2 linked regions of the Notamacropus eugenii genome follow. The protein of the gene in region 2 purifies or fractionates together with the protein of the main gene of each other region. This does not show direct contact. Links are inferred from orthologs where the notes say so. Each region holds a gene or a part of one and is shown on either strand. Other genes may lie near its edges.

Region 1 (8,093 bases), on a different chromosome or scaffold from region 2:
CAGGCAAACCCTGTTGGGAGCAGGCAGACCTGGGCGGGGCTCCCTCCTCTCCCTACAGTTTCACCTCTGTCTGATCCCTCTGAACTGAAATGGATAATAACTAGGCCTCTATTCTCACCATACTGGGCACCTAAGCCTCAGCACCTCTGGCTGACCCAGCTTCCCCGACTGGGGAGAATAACATATATGAAGGTATCTACTGATCACTCTGTACTCCCAGGGTCCCTTCATTACAGAAGAGTTGTCCCCTTGGGGAGCTGGCCCTGGTGAGCTTCTGCAGACAACACTGTTGCAGGAAGGGTGGAGTTGGCCCACCGCAAACACCCGAGTCACAGAACTTGCTCAAAGCCGAGAAACAGAAGGTTTGAATGGCCCTGCTCAAGTGGGCACAATTCCAAAGGTCCAGGGTATAAGTCAGTACCCTGAACAGTCCCTACTCAGCCTGCCAGTGCAAGCCTCCATCAGGCTCCCAGTGCATCAGCCTGGCTACTGATGTGACAGTCAGTTATTCAGTTGGAGCATTTCCTGCCCTGATGCACATACACCTCACAGGCACCCACCATCTTCAGGAATTCACAGAAAGCTCCAGAATGTTGGGTGGAGGACTCCCAGGAGGACATGGCCACACCCTTGGGGAGATCTATTATGTCCCTGACTCCCTCCATCTTCCTGAAGGGCCTGGGGTCTCTGCGGCTTCTAGCACACCCTGTGGGTCGGCATGGAAGAAATGAAACCAGTATGTTTTAAGTGCCTACTGTGTGCCAGCCATTGGGCTCATACAGGCCTGGGAGGAAGGTGCTACTATTATTCTCATTTTGCAGATGAGAAAACTGAGGCAGACAGAAGTTAAGGGACTTGTCCAGGGTCACACAGCCAGTAAGTGCCTGAGTCTGGATTTGAACTCAGGTTTTCCTGACTTTAGGGCAGCTAGGTAGAGGAGGGGCTAGAATGCCAGGCCCGGAGTTAGGAAGACTCATCTTCCTGGGCAAGTCACTTCATCCTGTTTGCCTCAGTTTCTTCATCTGTAAAATGAGCTAGAGAAGGAAAAAAGCAAGCCACTCCAATTATTTTGCCAAGAAAACCCCAAATGGGGTCATGAAGAGTCATACCTGACTGAAACAACTGAAATACATGTCCTGACTCCAGGTCCAACATTCTAGCACTAAGCCACGTAAAGTCAATTGCAGCCAGCGCTTATGTGGGCCCATATCTCAGGCTACTCCTGCCAGCTGGAAGAGGTCTGTAACTGTTCAGATTGGGAGCCCTCAGCAGGCAAAGGCTGTGTCTCCACCCTAATCCCCAAACTCCATTAATAAATGAGAGGGACACGCAGCATGGCCCACTTGGATCTGGTCTCTTCATTTGACCAAGGATCCACTGACATGGCAGGATGTGCTTGTGTTCTCATGTCCGTATGCATATGTGGATAGTGGGGGCGTGATGGCCAAGACACTTCTCAGTCATTTTCTGCTGCCCACAGTGGACCCTGAATGCCACAATCAACTGGAAGGAGAAAGAAGAGAACAGCCTGCCTCTATCTCCCGGTGCCCCTTGGAGCAAATGGTGAAACAGGGAGCCCACATTGGTGCTTTGGGCCCAGGACAATCCTTGTGGCTGCCCAGCCCCCAGAGGTTGTGGGGCCCACGCATGGCCAGCATCCAGGAGATGCTGGCTGGGGCTGCTCCTTGGGCTGAATCCCTCCATGCCCCCATCGTCTTCCGGGGGCAGTCCCTGTAGGATCCCAGATGGAAAAGGAACTTCAGAGGCTATCAAGCCCAAACACATCACAGAGAAGGAAACTGAGGCCCCAAAGGTCACGGGCTCCTAGGCTGACAGAAGGGAAAGATGGCATCTCCAGGCCTGGGAGTTGCATGGAGAACACGTGGGCCACAGAATCTTCAGTCTCTTAGCCCGGAGGAGAAGAGAGCTGGCCAAGAGCTGCTATGTGGGGAGGCGCTGGACCCAGAAGCTGGGCAGGCTCTTTCTCCTTCATCCCACAGTCAGAACCAGCTTTTAACTGTTGTCTTCAATTGGCAAATCGGCCTTACATGCCCCTACCCCACACAGCAGTCACCATCATCAGTGAGGCACACGTGAAAACTGGGACCCGAGTGAAGAGCCAGGAAGCAAGACTGGGCTTAAGGCTGGGGCGTGGGGCTGCTGCCAACGCTGGGGGCATGGGGAGGGGCAGGGATGTTCTTCACCAGCAGCCTGGAAAAATCGCTGAGACAGGAGCATGCTCCCCAGCCAAAGGCAACAGATTGTGGGGGGGGGGGGCGGGGGCGGGAGGTGCAGTGTTGGGGAGCAGGGAAAGGGGAGTCGGAGAACGCGAGGGGAAGAGAGGAGACTGGGGGGGAGGGCAGACCGGGGAGGCGCCCTGGAAGGGCGAAGACAAGTTGCAAAGTTTCTGGGCTGTCACTACCGGCGGAGAGCGAGCGTGTGGAGGTGGCGAATCGGGGCGACTCAGGGCCACGCCCTCTCCAGCCTCGCAGGCCGGGTGACCGGGGACTGAGTGACCCATTTCTTCAAGAGGGACTGCAGGAACCGGACGAGGCTGGCGGAAGGCAGAGGCCAGGGCGGGGCCGCTCGGGCCTCCAGATCGTTGTCTCTCGCCCTCTGCCCGGCGCCTCCGCCCGGTTCGGGGCGCTTAGGGGCCGGGCCGCCCTCACCGGAGGAAGGGAAGTTTCCAGGTTCCCCCTGTCGCCGCAGATCTCACCTTGGACCCTCCCGCCGCAGAGCATGGAAGTGGATTGGGGGTAGAGGAGAGCACGAGAGAAATGGTCCCCCCCAGCCCCCGCACCCAGCTCTCAGTCCGTGGTCCGAGGGCGCACAGGAGCCTGTGCCCGCCCCAAGTCCCCTCTCACCTGAGCGCCACAAACCTCTCGCCCAGGAGAGCTAGAGCCAAGCCCAGAGCAGTGAGAACGAGCAGCCGCGCCATGGCCGCTTCTGGTCCCGGCCAGGTCCGGGGGCTCCTCCCTCTGCCCGCCTTCGCTGCCCCTCGGCTCCCGGCTCCGCCTCCCCCGGCCCAGGATCCCAGGCTCCGCTGGTCCCGGGACTGGGGCTCAGGGTACCACCCATCTCCTGACTCCACCAACCTCCCTCTTCTCCGCCCCCATCTCCTCCTTCTGTCTCCGCCTCATCTTGCGACCCTCCTTCCTTCCCAGTTTCCTCCTCCCGCCCCCTCCTTCTGCAGTTCTCGCCCCCTCACACCAGGTCTTCCGTCCCTTCCTCATTCCCTCTGTGCCCAGGGCCCAGAACACCACCACACAAACCCTAGAATTCCCCCCGGGATCTTGTCCAGACGATCCCGTCCTGGACCGGGCCTCCTAGCTGATCCTGCATCCCCCTGGTGCCCCCTTGTTACCTTTGGGATGGCAGGAAGAGCGGGATGGAGGGGGGATAAGGGAGTGGCCTCCCTTTGTCCAGTCGGGAGTTATAAAAAAGTTTATTGCATTGGAATGAATCGCATAACCACCCCAGCCTACCCCCACCCCCATTTGTGCGGGATTTTCATTAGACACTGCCCTGGAGGGAAACCTCGTGGCTCTCCCACATTTGAAAAAGGTCTGAGGACCCCTGCTTCTGATGGAGCTTCTCTGGGCAGGCCCAGTCCCACCCCCACCCCCAAGTGACTGAAGTTTAATGTGGTTATTTTGTTTCAATGTGGAGAAAGCTGAACTTGTGCCTGACAAATGCCACGAGTGAAGGACTCTTGCAGATAGCTTCCCTTCCGGTATACTTGGCCTAAATGGATTTCTCCAGCCTTCCTTGGCCCTGGGCCAATCCAGAGGACTTCATCAGATCGAGGTTCCTTCTGGTGGGGAAACAGCAGCACTCACAACACTAACACACTAACACACACACCAGGGCCAGCACAGAATTTCCCTTCCAGCCCAGATGGTCTAAGTTGAGTTCTGGCAAGGTGATGATCCTCCCCCCCCCAAAAAAAAATCCTATTTCTGCTACCTTGGCCATCACGGAGTAACTTCTGTGCCCTTGAGCACTGTCCTCACTTAATCCTGGGGTGTCTGGGCTCTCCTTCTCTGATCTCATCCTCAGACACACAGGAGGAGAGGGTTGTGTGTAGGAATGGACACCCCTCCGCTCCAGTTTCTTGACAGAACCTGGCAGCTTACCTGAGCCTTCTTGGGCTGGTGAGGTCAGGCGAGGTCATCTTCAAAGGGACCAGAGAAGTTCCAAACAACGGGTCTGGGCTTTGTCTTCAGTTCTGTTAACCTTTGCATGGCTCCTTATATGTTACTAAGTCATTTGATCCCACAACAGCCATGTAACCCCAGCCCCAAAGCCCATTAGCATGAGAATCTCTCCTGATTGGTGGAGGTGAATGGTCTGTGTCTATGTGAGAGGCAGAGCAGGGAACAATGCTTCAATCTTCAAGCTTGCAGAATCTTAGGTGCTTCTGACTTCCAGGAGAGAGAGGGAATGGGAAGGGAGGGGAGAAGGAGAGGGAGGGAGAGGGGGAGGGGAAGAGAGAGAGACAGAGAGACAGAGAGACAAAGACAGACAGAAACAGAAGACAGAGAGACAGAGAGAGACAAGAGACAAAGAAAGACAGAGAGACAGAAGGAGAGAGAGAGGGAGGGAGGGGGAGAGAGGGAAGATGGAAGGGATCTAATCTTAGCAAGTAGGTAATGAGAGGAGCTGGTCCATCAGGCTTCTATCCTCAGCTTGTTTCACTGGAGATTTTGGGGAACTTCCCCATGGATAGAACCAGGACCAGCTCTCTTGGTTAAGCTGAATTTCCTCACTCCCAATGGGAGAACTCCCTCACTCTGTATTGTCCAGTATATTTTCTCCCTTGGGGTCCTTCTTTCCCACCAAACCATTATTGAAACAGTGATCAGAAGCTGCCTTGAACCTGAAAGACACATCCCCTACACTACTAACATTTAAGGGGACAGATAGATATAATTCTAGCCTGGTGGCTTCAGCCACCGCTCTCCTGCTTCCCCTCCTAGCAGAGAGTAAAGTCTCCCTTGTAGAAGGTGGGGGGAAGGGAAGAGGCTAGAAATTTCTATTGTCCCTCTTGGATCCACAGGTGAGAGACAATGAACTTGGAGGGAAATCTTCCCCCTCAGATTGGTTTTTTGAGCCAGCGTATCCTGAAGCATCTCTTGGGTCTCCATTTCCCAACCCTTTGTTTTGAATGAGTAGCTCCCGGACAAGCCCCCCGAGGCTGGCTAGAAATTGTCTTCTGGGGTCAGTTTTGTTTCCCACCCATTCTGTCTGGAAAACGCTTGTATTCTCATTTCTTTTTTTCCTTCTCTCTTCAATGGAAGCAGAATTTTTTTAAAGAGTCACAGATAGTTTGGTTCTATCCTGGAAGTTTTTGATGTCAGTTCTATTTTGTTTTATTACTTTTGTTTGGAAATGCCACAGACCTCTCTAGCTTGGCTTCATCCCACTGTTAGATAATCGTGCATTTATTGACTTGGAGTATTTTATTTCTTACAAGTTCTACTGAAAGGGTGATACCTGAACAAGTCCTTGACACCGACTGTTGGTTGTCAGGATTTGAATTCAAGTCTTTTGCTGTACTATTGTATTGCTTCGGCTCAGTATTTTAATCCGATAGAGTGTTGTTGTTACAACACTGAACATCTGTTAATTGCATGAATGTTTGTGTATTAATGTGGGCACATGGGAAGCAATCTCTAGAAAAGATGACACTAAGACCTTGAGGGGTTCCGTCTTGCTTTTGCTGGTGAAAAGCACAGAGATCATCTGAAATCAGAATTGGAAAGCCAGGTGGTACAGTGGAGAGTGCTGGGTCTGAAGTCAGGAAAATTCATCTCTCTGAGTTCAAATCTGGCTTGAGATTAGCTGTGTGACCCTGGACAAGTTATTTTACACTGTTTGCCTCAGTTCCTCATCTGTAAAATGGGCTGGAGAAGGAAGTGACTAAAACCACTATAGTACCTCTGCCAAGAAAACCTGAAATGGGGTCCTGAAGAGTACGACATGACTGAAAAAATGACTTAACAACTTTGTGTGAAGCCTGCATATACTCATCCCCCCCCCCAAATTATTAATTTATTTGTTTTCAGTTTTCAACAATCACTTTCCCTTCCTCCCCAAGATGACATGCAATCTTATATGGACTCTACACATGGATTTTTATTAAACACGTTTTCACATTAGTCATGTTGCATAGAAGGATTAAAACAAATGGGAGGAATCATGAGAAAAACAAAATATGACAAAAGAGAAAAGAGTCTGTTTCATTCTGTATTCTGACTCCATAGTTCTTTTTCTGGATTGCATATACTCTTAATGAGTATTTAATATCATTTTCAATGGTATTGAAGACTGGTTGCCTGGGATGACAGGAGAATCATTCTTGTTTGAAAGCACTGATACTTAGGTTGATTCTTACAGATTTTGGACCTGCCCCAGCTGATCCTGGCAAGGAACTGAAAAAAGTTTCAGCCCTGGGGAGGAATGTCACCCTACTCTCAAAGCTCATCTAACCTTAACCCTAACCCTAAATGCACTCCAAATGAGACTCTTTCCTCATTGGTGGAGATGAATGGGGCAAGGTTGGAGAGAGGAGAGTTCTTCATTCTCTTCAAGCTTAGAGTCACTTTGGTTCCTTCTGGCTTCCAGCTTCAGGAGAGAAAATGGAGGAGGCCAGAATCAGCATGAGAGGGGCAGGCAATCTTTCGCATGTTACCACCCCCAGCTTGTTCCACTAAAGATTTCAGGATATTTCCTCTGGGGAGAGATCTGGGACTGTCTCTCTTGGTTGAGCTGAGTTATCCTGTTCCCAGTGGGAGAGATCTTTCACCCTGTGTTGTCTGGCATATGTCCTCTGTGCACTTTCTCTGAACTCTGCTTGACTATGGCCTTGGGTAAATGAGTTTCTTGGTTCTTATGTGTATTTGCTGTATATTGGCATTCAATGAAAAGGGAGTTTTAATCCTTGGGTATAAAGCTTGGGATCCTCCTCTTTCCAAGTAATGAAAAATGACCAGAAGTTTATCTTGAACCTAAAACACACATCCCCTACACTAACAATATTTAAGGGAGCAGATAGATATAATTCTAGCTTGGTTCCCTCCATCTCTGAGTAGGGCAGAGTGGCCTCCAGACCCAACCATTTGTTTTTCCTCTGAGCAAGCATTAAAATCTCCTCTGGAGAAATGTTGGGAGAGAAGAGACTAGGGATATGTGTTCTTCCTCCTTTTGAGCTACACAATGGCACATCTTTGCTTTATGTCAGGATCAGCCCTTGCAATACGTGAGCCTTACCATGTTCATTTTACAGAGGAGGAAAATGAAGTCAGGGGCATCTCATGATCTGCCCAGTCACACAGCTAGTAAGTGTTTGAGGTTGGATTTGAACCCAGAGACAATTGGGAAATTAAGTCCAAGAGGTATAGGAGGCTCTCAAGAATGGCATTCCAAGAGGGAGGGGGAGAAAATCTAAAACTCAAAATCTTATGGAAGTGAATGTTGAAAGCTAAAATTAAATTATTTTTTTTAAAAAAAGAATGACATTTCAAAGACGCAAAAATATCAATTCAGCTGGGGAGAAAATGCCTAATTTGCTGATGACATCAAACTGGGAGTGAGAAATCACATTCTCAATGTGAGAGCAAGGATCCAAAACAGCCTAGAAGAGTCTAGAACAGGGATCCTGGGCCCAAATCCAGCCTGCATCCTACTGTTGGATTGCCAGTCAGCTAGGAATGGTTTTAGTTTTTTAAGTAAAGTTTGTCTTTTTAGATTGGACTGTAAAAAAACAGACAATGGGCCAGATTTGAACCCCATCATTGGCTGCCTCAGCCTAGAATCTATACTGAGCTGAATCCAACATGATGAAATGGAGAGTTTTACAGTTTCTCCCAAATAAAACATCTCTGAAAGTACACAAGGGGGCAGCAGAAATAGAAAGCACTTTACCTAGAAGAGACGCGGAGGTTTCTTGGATCCCAAGTGGACAGTGTAATGTGGCTGCAGAGAATGTGAATGGGATCCCAGGCTGCACTGAGGGAGGCAGAGGGAGCAAGAGGACGTTGTCCCTGCCCCTGGTTGACACCACAGTCAACATCAAAGTTTTCCAATGAGCC
Region 2 (7,976 bases):
TGTATTATGTTTTGTTTTGTTTTATTTAATAGTTTCTCCCATTCATTTTAATTCTTCTATGCAACATGTATTTAATAGGAAAGTATGTATAGAACTATATAACATTGTATGCTGTTTCAGGAAAGGAGTGGGGGAGGGATAGGGAAATGAGAGAGAGGGAGGGGAAGAAAATCTAAAATATATGGAAGTGACTGTCAAACACTGAAAACAAAATAATTTAATTAAAAAAATAAAATTAAAAAAATGGCTCCAGGCCAAATGCTCTCATTTTGTTTGACTTATCGGCTGTTAAAAAAAAAAATTAAGAGTTGAGCAAGAGCAGCCTCTTATTCCTCTCTCCCTCCACCTTCCAAAGTCAAGATCAGATTTATTGCCGGGGAAATTACCTTGCCACTCCTAAAACTGTCAATTACCACTTTTAAACAGAAGTGAGGCTTTGTTTGTGAAGTTTTTACTGACAGTAGCTACTGGATTTTAATTAGCAAGCCATTCCACTGGACCAAAAACCACCAAAGCAAGTCAAGTTGTTTTGTAACAAAAAGAATGTTGTAAGGACTATCATTATGTTAAGATTTAAAGACCTTGGGAAAAGCTTCAAGGCATTTTGCAATACTTAGTTTTAATCAAGGACCTCCCTCTCTGCATGTTATAGAGGGCTAACTACGTAGGGGTGAAAGCATTGGCTTTCCAGATTATCCAGGATTATCCAGAATAGGGATCACCTTTTTAAAAAATGATCATAGCAGTAGGCCAACTGGCCAATATAACACCACTTAGTGAGATGTATAACGGGCAAACTTCTCTCTCCTCCCTCCTTGATTTTCACCAGGTATTTGGCTCCTTGGAGATTCTAAGAGGGGAAAAAAATTCCCCAAAACTTTCTTTACTTTTCTTGAGTAGTATAGTATGAGTGTTAAAAATCTGATTTTTAAAAAATGACCAAAATAAAAACAGTTTTGTATGGTATACAAATCCTTCCAACCAGGTATAGTAAATAAGGATTGGGGTGTCCTACACCTGGATGTACTCTTTTAGTAGAAATGTACCAGTATATACCATTCTTGAGAGAGGGCAAATCACAACACTCAGAAGTTACACATACACCTGCTATAAGGAAGTTCCCACTTGACTTGCCAGTTTTTCAGCTTTTGTAGAGGCTGGTATCCACCCCAATCTTTAGGAACTCTCCCCCTCCCCCAAATCAACACAATGAGGGTACTTAATAAATTTTCATCTAATACTTTAGCTGTCTTCAACTGTGATCTTATAAATGGCATTTTTATTAAAAAGTGTGCACTTGGTTTCAATTGTCACCTTGAACCATTTTAATGGCTGGATGATCCTAAAAGTTGCTCTAGGCAACTCTCAAGTTACTGCACAGAAGGTGTAAACCTTCATTGCTAAATGGAGTTAAGGTTCCAATACCAATAAAATCACAGGTCCAATACCTGTGGGTGGGGTGGGTATGTTCTTAGGGTAGCAATTAAAAAGGGACAAAAACAGAGAAATAAGATCCACCTGCTTCAGGATACTCCTCCAAGTCACTAGGTTCTTAACGCTCTCTCTTAGGAAGCTGTGATTCAAGAGCCCCGCCCCTTAAGAGGATAGACAAATCCTTAAAGGATAAGGAAGCTTTCAAGCAAGCCCCTGGTGTGAGGCTAAAATAACATTTGACAAATATGAGGGCAATGCCTCAGGTTAACTGCATGCTACTCTACAAAGAGCAGTGAGTGGCCAGGGAATCCAAAGAATAAAGTTCTGGATCAACTCTCCATTCATTACCCCCATGTCTTGGCAAGTCCATTCTCCAGAGCCCTTAATTTTCAGACTTGTAAAATAGAGCAGGACTAGATCAAGGTTTATTAACCTGGTGGGAAGGAGAAGGGGGCAGTGTCTACGGACAGACTTCAAGGGATAGGGAACTTAGAGGGGTCAAAACAATTGCAATCTTCATTTTCCCATTCTAACTGAAATTCAGCATTTTCTCCAATTATGTAAAAACATTGTGACAAGCGGTCCACAGGTTCCACCGGACTAAAAACCAAAGGATTAAGGGGGAGGTGTGTGTTACAAGCTTGTTCCCCACTGTCACCAAGCTTACCCGTTCCTTCCGAAGCTAACCCACCTGACCAGGTATGGTGGAGAAGCGAACCCATGCAAGAAGCTGGCGAGGACCCCCTGGCAAGGCGGTCCTTTCTTCCTTTTAGTTCCAGTCTCCTCTCCCCCCTCTCTTCCCCTCAGACAACTCTAAACTCCACATCGTGGGAGGGCATCGGCCAAGATGGCCCGACCGCGCTCAGGCCGGGGGGCATGGCTGGGGTCACCACAACCCCTGCACAGCAACCCCCATCTCTTCCGCAGGAGAGAGGCAGCAAAGGGGAGGGAGAGGAAGAGGGAGAAGAGAGAGACACAGAGAGAGAGAAACTGGGGAGAGAAAAGAGGGAGAGGAGACACAGAGAGAGAGAAACTGGGGAGAGAAAAGAGGGAGGGAGAGGAGAGAGACAGACGAAATGGGGGAGAGGAGAAGAAAGTGGGCAGGGGGTGTGCAGAGGAGGCCAAGCTGTGGGGGGCAGAGAAGCCGAGCACCCCCCCAGCCCAGGGGTGACCCGGGGTCAGAAGCCCGAGGACCGAGGTTAGAGTGCGGCACGGCTCGGGTGCGGCCGACACAAGCGTCCGGGTCCGGCCCACGGAGCCTCGGTCCGGGGCAGGGGTCCCCGGGTCGCGGGAAGGGGCGCTCACCTGCACCGGACAAAGCAGCGCCAGGCCGATGGCCAACAGCAGCCCGGCTCTGGGGCCGAGCGCCCTCATGGTCGGCGGCGGTCACCGGGCCCGCGGGGGCAGGGGGAGCAGGGGCGCGCGCCGGAGGGAGGGGAGCTGAGCCCAAGGGAGCCGGAGCCGTGCCGTCCCGTCCCGTCCTGGTCCCGTCCCGGTCAGCTCCCCCGCGACGCCGCCTTCGCTGGAGCCGGCGGAGTTTAGTGAGCCCCCGGCAGGATCGAGCTAACGCGCAAGTCAGGAAGGAGGGAGGGGAGGGGGGAAGAATGGGGGGCGTCGCGCCTCCTCCTCCTCCAGGGTGGGGTTACGCATGCGGTCCGCCCCTTGGCTCGCCCCGGGAGCGGCCGCGGCGGCTCGAGGGGAGGGGTGTGACGGGCGCCTGGCTCACGCCCCGCCTCCTCTCCCCTCTCCCCACCTTCAGTGGGCGGGGCCTGGAGCCGCCCGGCGCTGCTCCTCCCCTTCTTCCTCCCCCCACCTCCGCCGAGCGCGGGGCCGCAGCTGCCGCAGCTCTCCTTCGCGTCCTCTCCTAGACCCTCCCAACGATCTTCCCTCCGCCAGTGCCCCAGCGCCGCCTTAGGTGTCTTCTCGGCCGCGGTCTCTCTCTCCTAGCATTATTAATCCTCGGTGCAGGCGGCCTTGCTTTTCGTGTCTCTTTCCTGTGGCTCTGCTTCCACCTCGCCCGCTCCTTGCCCCTTTCAGTGGCCCGGAATCCTAGCGATGCCCCTTACCCCCTCTCCACCCCATTCTTCACCTTGAGTCCAATGGTTTCATCCTAACTCAGGGACCTCCATCCGGCCCCCTCCCTTTTTTCTGGAATGCTTTAGGGGAGGAGAATGTCCCCAGGGACTTAGTCATTTTTCCTTGTCCAGAGTGACAGTTCACCTTTCCTGGGGACAGCGAGGGGCCCCAGGGTCCGGAGACGGCCTGTTTACTTCCAGAATTGGAGGGTGGGTGGTGTGGAGTCCCTCCAAAGGATATCTCGTAGCAATTGTTTCGAAAACAAAACCGCATCCACCCAAGGGAAATGAAGTGGTCGGGTTTAGGAGCGGGGCGGTTGTAAAGGAAACACCCCTGCTGTGAGCCACGAGGCCCGAGATCAAATTATGCCTCTGAGTCAGCTTTATCGAATCTTTTCACTTCAGTTCAATCACCTTTTGTTACGCCGGCCAGGGGATACGGAAAAGAAGCCAAAGACGGCCCATGCCCCCAAGGAGTTTACGGTGACCACGTGCAAGCAAATATATACAAAGCAAGCGATATACAGAATAAATAGGAAATAATTAACAGAAGGCACTGGAATGAAGAGAGGTTGGAGAGGGCTTCCCCAGGGAGCCGGGGAGATCTGAGGAGAAGGGAGGGCATTCTAGACGTGGGGAGGGGCGAGGGAAGGGAACTGTCCTAGAGAGGAGGGGAAGAGGGAAAGGAGAGGAGCGGGGAGAGAGGAAGGGAGAGGATGCGCTCTTAGTTTTCTCATCTGTAAAACAAGGAGATTTAACTAGAAGATCGCTAATGGGCTGTCCAGCTAGGGACGCTCCGATCCTGGCCGCCCCACGCAGTTTTATTGGCTAATACTGCACCACAAACACAGCTCCCAGCAGGACAGCCAGGGCAGTGGGATCGCTCCCAGCGAGCTTGACGCGCGGTGGCCTGACCCGTGATGTGAGGTTATCAGACAAGCCCAAAGCCAGAGAGGAGTTAGTCATTGGCGGAAGGGAGGGGAAGGGAGGGGCGGTGTGGGGAGACTGTGACTCTCCCTGGGAGTCACGCTTTAGATTCTCGGGGCCTGATATCTAATCGTCACCGACCCGACTGTGTTTACAGCTGGCTCCGCCAAAGCTCCCCGAGTGCTTGAAAACACATCTTTCTGTAAAAGTCTGCATTGCTGTTTGCAAGTACCTGCAGCTAACTGGGGAGCTTGAAAACCAAGCTGCAAACTTTTGTCTGGTGTCACCCTTCTGGTTCGGGGCCAAGGAGACTCATCTGCCGCTGAATCATCGTGATAGAGAATAAGAACCCTTAGAGACCCATCTAGTCCAATCCTCTATTTTATTAATGTAAATTTTGGATCAAAAAGTTGAATTTTCAATAAACACCAAATAAAATAGGCATATCTATATAAATAGTAGGACAGAAAAAGGATTGTACATGAAACTGAATCTCTATTATGTGCAGATAACTTTAATATATTTAAAATTCAACATGTAACTTTGTAAGTCGTTCTACTTTACGATTCTTTTTGGCCTTTCTGCTTTCTCTTAGGAATTTTTAAAACAATGGTTCAATGACTTTTTTCTTTTTTGCTGTCTTATACTTCTCTTTTTGTCCCTTTCCCTATCCTGCTCCCCACTGGAGGAGAAAAAAAAGACAAACTAAACCTCTGTGACAAAAATTCAAATTCAAGCAAATAAAATTACCACATTGGCCGTGTCTGTCACCCCTATTTCAGGAAGTATCAACCCACTCATTTAAGGAAATTTTCCTAAAGAGCTAAAATTATTTGATCAAAGTTAAAAAAAAAAAGTTAGTATTTCTTTACAAAGTAGAGGTTAATTGACTTGTCCAGAGTCCCACATGTGATCGCTATCTGAATCTGGACTTGAATTCCCCTTCCTGGCTCCAAGTCCAACATTCTAATGTTTCACTTGCCAGATCCAAGATTTGCATTTGTGTTACAATGACACCAATACAAAAACATTCTAACCTACATTTTGCATCCTTGTGGTGACAGTTTTTCCCCCCAGATTTCAAACAAATTGTTTCTTGCAGCAATCAAAATTACTAGTTATTTGCTTTCAGTAGTTAAGGGCATTGAGGCAAGGATGACTTTTCCCAACAATGGAAGGCCAAAGTAGAATGAGGTTAGGCTATGCTACTATAACACTCACTCTGGATTCAATCTGCCAACTTCCATCAAACTTGGTCTTTAATCCTCAGAGAGGAATGACTACTTTTCTCCTCAGGATTCTTAGCTGTTAACCCTGAATGGTTGTTGTGACTTCCAACACTTTCACTCCTAAGTTGCCTTTGATTGTTTCCCATTACCAAGCAGCCTGGGGAACCAGAGTAGCTTTTAGAAAAGGTATTTACTAAAAAGATACTGCAAGAATAGTTAATGCATTACCATCTCTCTTTACATTTTAATCCACTCTCCTTAGGGACCTTGATGTCCCTGGGGAAAGTGTGTTCAGATTTAAAGGAAGATGATAATGGAACATATGTATAAAGGACACATTTGGCCAAGGAGTATCTCCTAACTATTGGTCCTGGAAGTCTTATCTCCTTTTGTGGAGTCCTCATGAAGTTCCCTTTAGGTGCACCTCTCTGCTGGACTCTAAAGATTAGTGCCTTTCTCAAGTGCATAGCCAACACTCCTCTCTATCACAAGAATCACTGTCCTTGAAACTGCCACCATCCTCAGATGACTGTTTTCCATCTATCCGTAGGTGCATCCTTTGTCATCAGCCTTTACCATTCCAGTGGCCACTAATATTGACTCCAATCACTGGTGAAAATTCTGCTGGAACCTCAAGATACCCTAAATGTCCAAGTTCACCTAGTAACTCTCCTCTTGGAATATATATATATATATATATATATATATATATATATATATATATATATATATATATATATATATATATATATACACACACACATATATATATATGTATATATATATATGTATATATATATATATCTTTTAACTTAAGATCAGAAAAGAAAACAAAACAAAACAAAATGAAAATGAAAGTGAGATCTCTGATGTCTAGGTGAGAGATAGGCCTTCCTCCTACTCCAGCAGCTCAGAGTAATCCTTACTTCACACAAAATCACACATTGCTGGAAACAGCTTCTCAATCTATACACTGGACTGGAGTCAAGTAAGGAATATTTGACAGTGCTCTGTATAAGCTGGAATACAATGGAGTCAGGCAGTTAAGTAGTACAGTGAATAGAATGCAAGGCCTGGAGTGAGGAAGACATCTTCCTGAATTCAAATCTGGCCTCAGACATTTACTAGCTGTGTGACCCTGGGCAAGTCACTTAACCCTGTTTGCCTCAGTTCCTTATCTGTAAAATGAGCTGGAGAAGGAAATGGCAAACTTCTCAGGAATCTTTGCCAAGAGAACCCCAAATAATGTCACAAAGAGTCTGAAATGACTAAGCAACATCAAACAGTGGAATCAGCTTCGGTTAGCTCAAGCCTATTGTTAAATTTTTCGTGTAAATACCTCAGAAACTGGCAAATACTACAAATTAGCTTGATTTCTCATTTTGTTGATTGTCTAGACTTTAGATAGTGATGGAGAAAATATTAATAATGCAAATTCAGCTTAAAATTGTGTTGGCATACATTTATTTATTTGTCTATCTATCCATCTATTTATTCGTTTATTGAGGGAAAGTAAAATAACCCTATATAAAGGAAAATCATTGCTTGCTTCCCAGATGAAGAAAACTGCAAATATTTTTGCCCTCTTAAAATAATAAAAGACTAATAGTATTTAATTTATTCACTCTCTATACTCATACTAGCAATATTATACACACATATAGATATATGAATATAAAATCTCATTCTCATCTTTTTTATGGGGTTACTCTTGCCCAAGTGAATCAAATAATTGCTTCTTATAATTGGATAAAAGTAATTGGATATAAGACCACCTTCTGTTGGCTCACTGAAATCATCTTCTGGGTAACTGTTTTAGCAGACTGGACAATGAGAATATGGATTAAGTACCTTCTCTGCAATTTCACATGATTTTGATTCCTTTTGCTTGGTTTCTATTTTGAAAGCTTTTTATTCCACAAAGCTTTAGGATTATGTGTATTTTGGAGTGGAGTTGTTTAGTAAAGGATAGTCTTTAAATTTTTGTGGTTCAGAGTTATGCTCCATTTCCAACACAGTTTGTTGAATCCTCATGAATTTTTTGATGTCTATATTATAACATGGGTATTTGTTATCTATGAGTCCACAGAATCTGGTCAACCTCTGATGCATAATTCTAGCCTCTGAGTCATTCTTGCTCAGTATTTATTAGGAACAAAAATTTTACAGCCTGGAGTGACTTGGTTTCTACCATTTCTTTATATAATCTTCATTGATCACTAAGTTCCTTAAGTATAAATTGTCTGTAATTTCTCCTGTTGATGACCTGGTCCTGAATTGCCACCATAAACTTTTCTATTACCATAAACGC

Evidence for each region. Proteins that work in one complex are often made in the same cells at the same time.
Region 1: the proteins of NPC1 (region 2) and serum paraoxonase/arylesterase 2-like purify together in Homo sapiens (affinity purification with mass spectrometry; 3 studies listed by BioGRID and IntAct, with this or other methods). This does not show direct contact. The link is inferred for Notamacropus eugenii from reciprocal best matches to the Homo sapiens genes NPC1 and PON2.

The regions. Positions count from the first base shown.
Region 1 is NC_092874.1:824,030-832,122, forward strand, and holds the start of serum paraoxonase/arylesterase 2-like, read right to left. Parts: upstream 3,060-8,093; 5' UTR 2,939-3,059; coding exon 2,865-2,938; intron 1-2,864. UniProt on the Homo sapiens protein: Capable of hydrolyzing lactones and a number of aromatic carboxylic acid esters. Has antioxidant activity. Is not associated with high density lipoprotein.
Region 2 is NC_092875.1:247,653,606-247,661,581, forward strand, and holds the start of NPC1 (NPC intracellular cholesterol transporter 1), read right to left. Parts: upstream 3,009-7,976; 5' UTR 2,809-3,008; coding exon 2,740-2,808; intron 1-2,739. UniProt on the Homo sapiens protein: Intracellular cholesterol transporter which acts in concert with NPC2 and plays an important role in the egress of cholesterol from the endosomal/lysosomal compartment.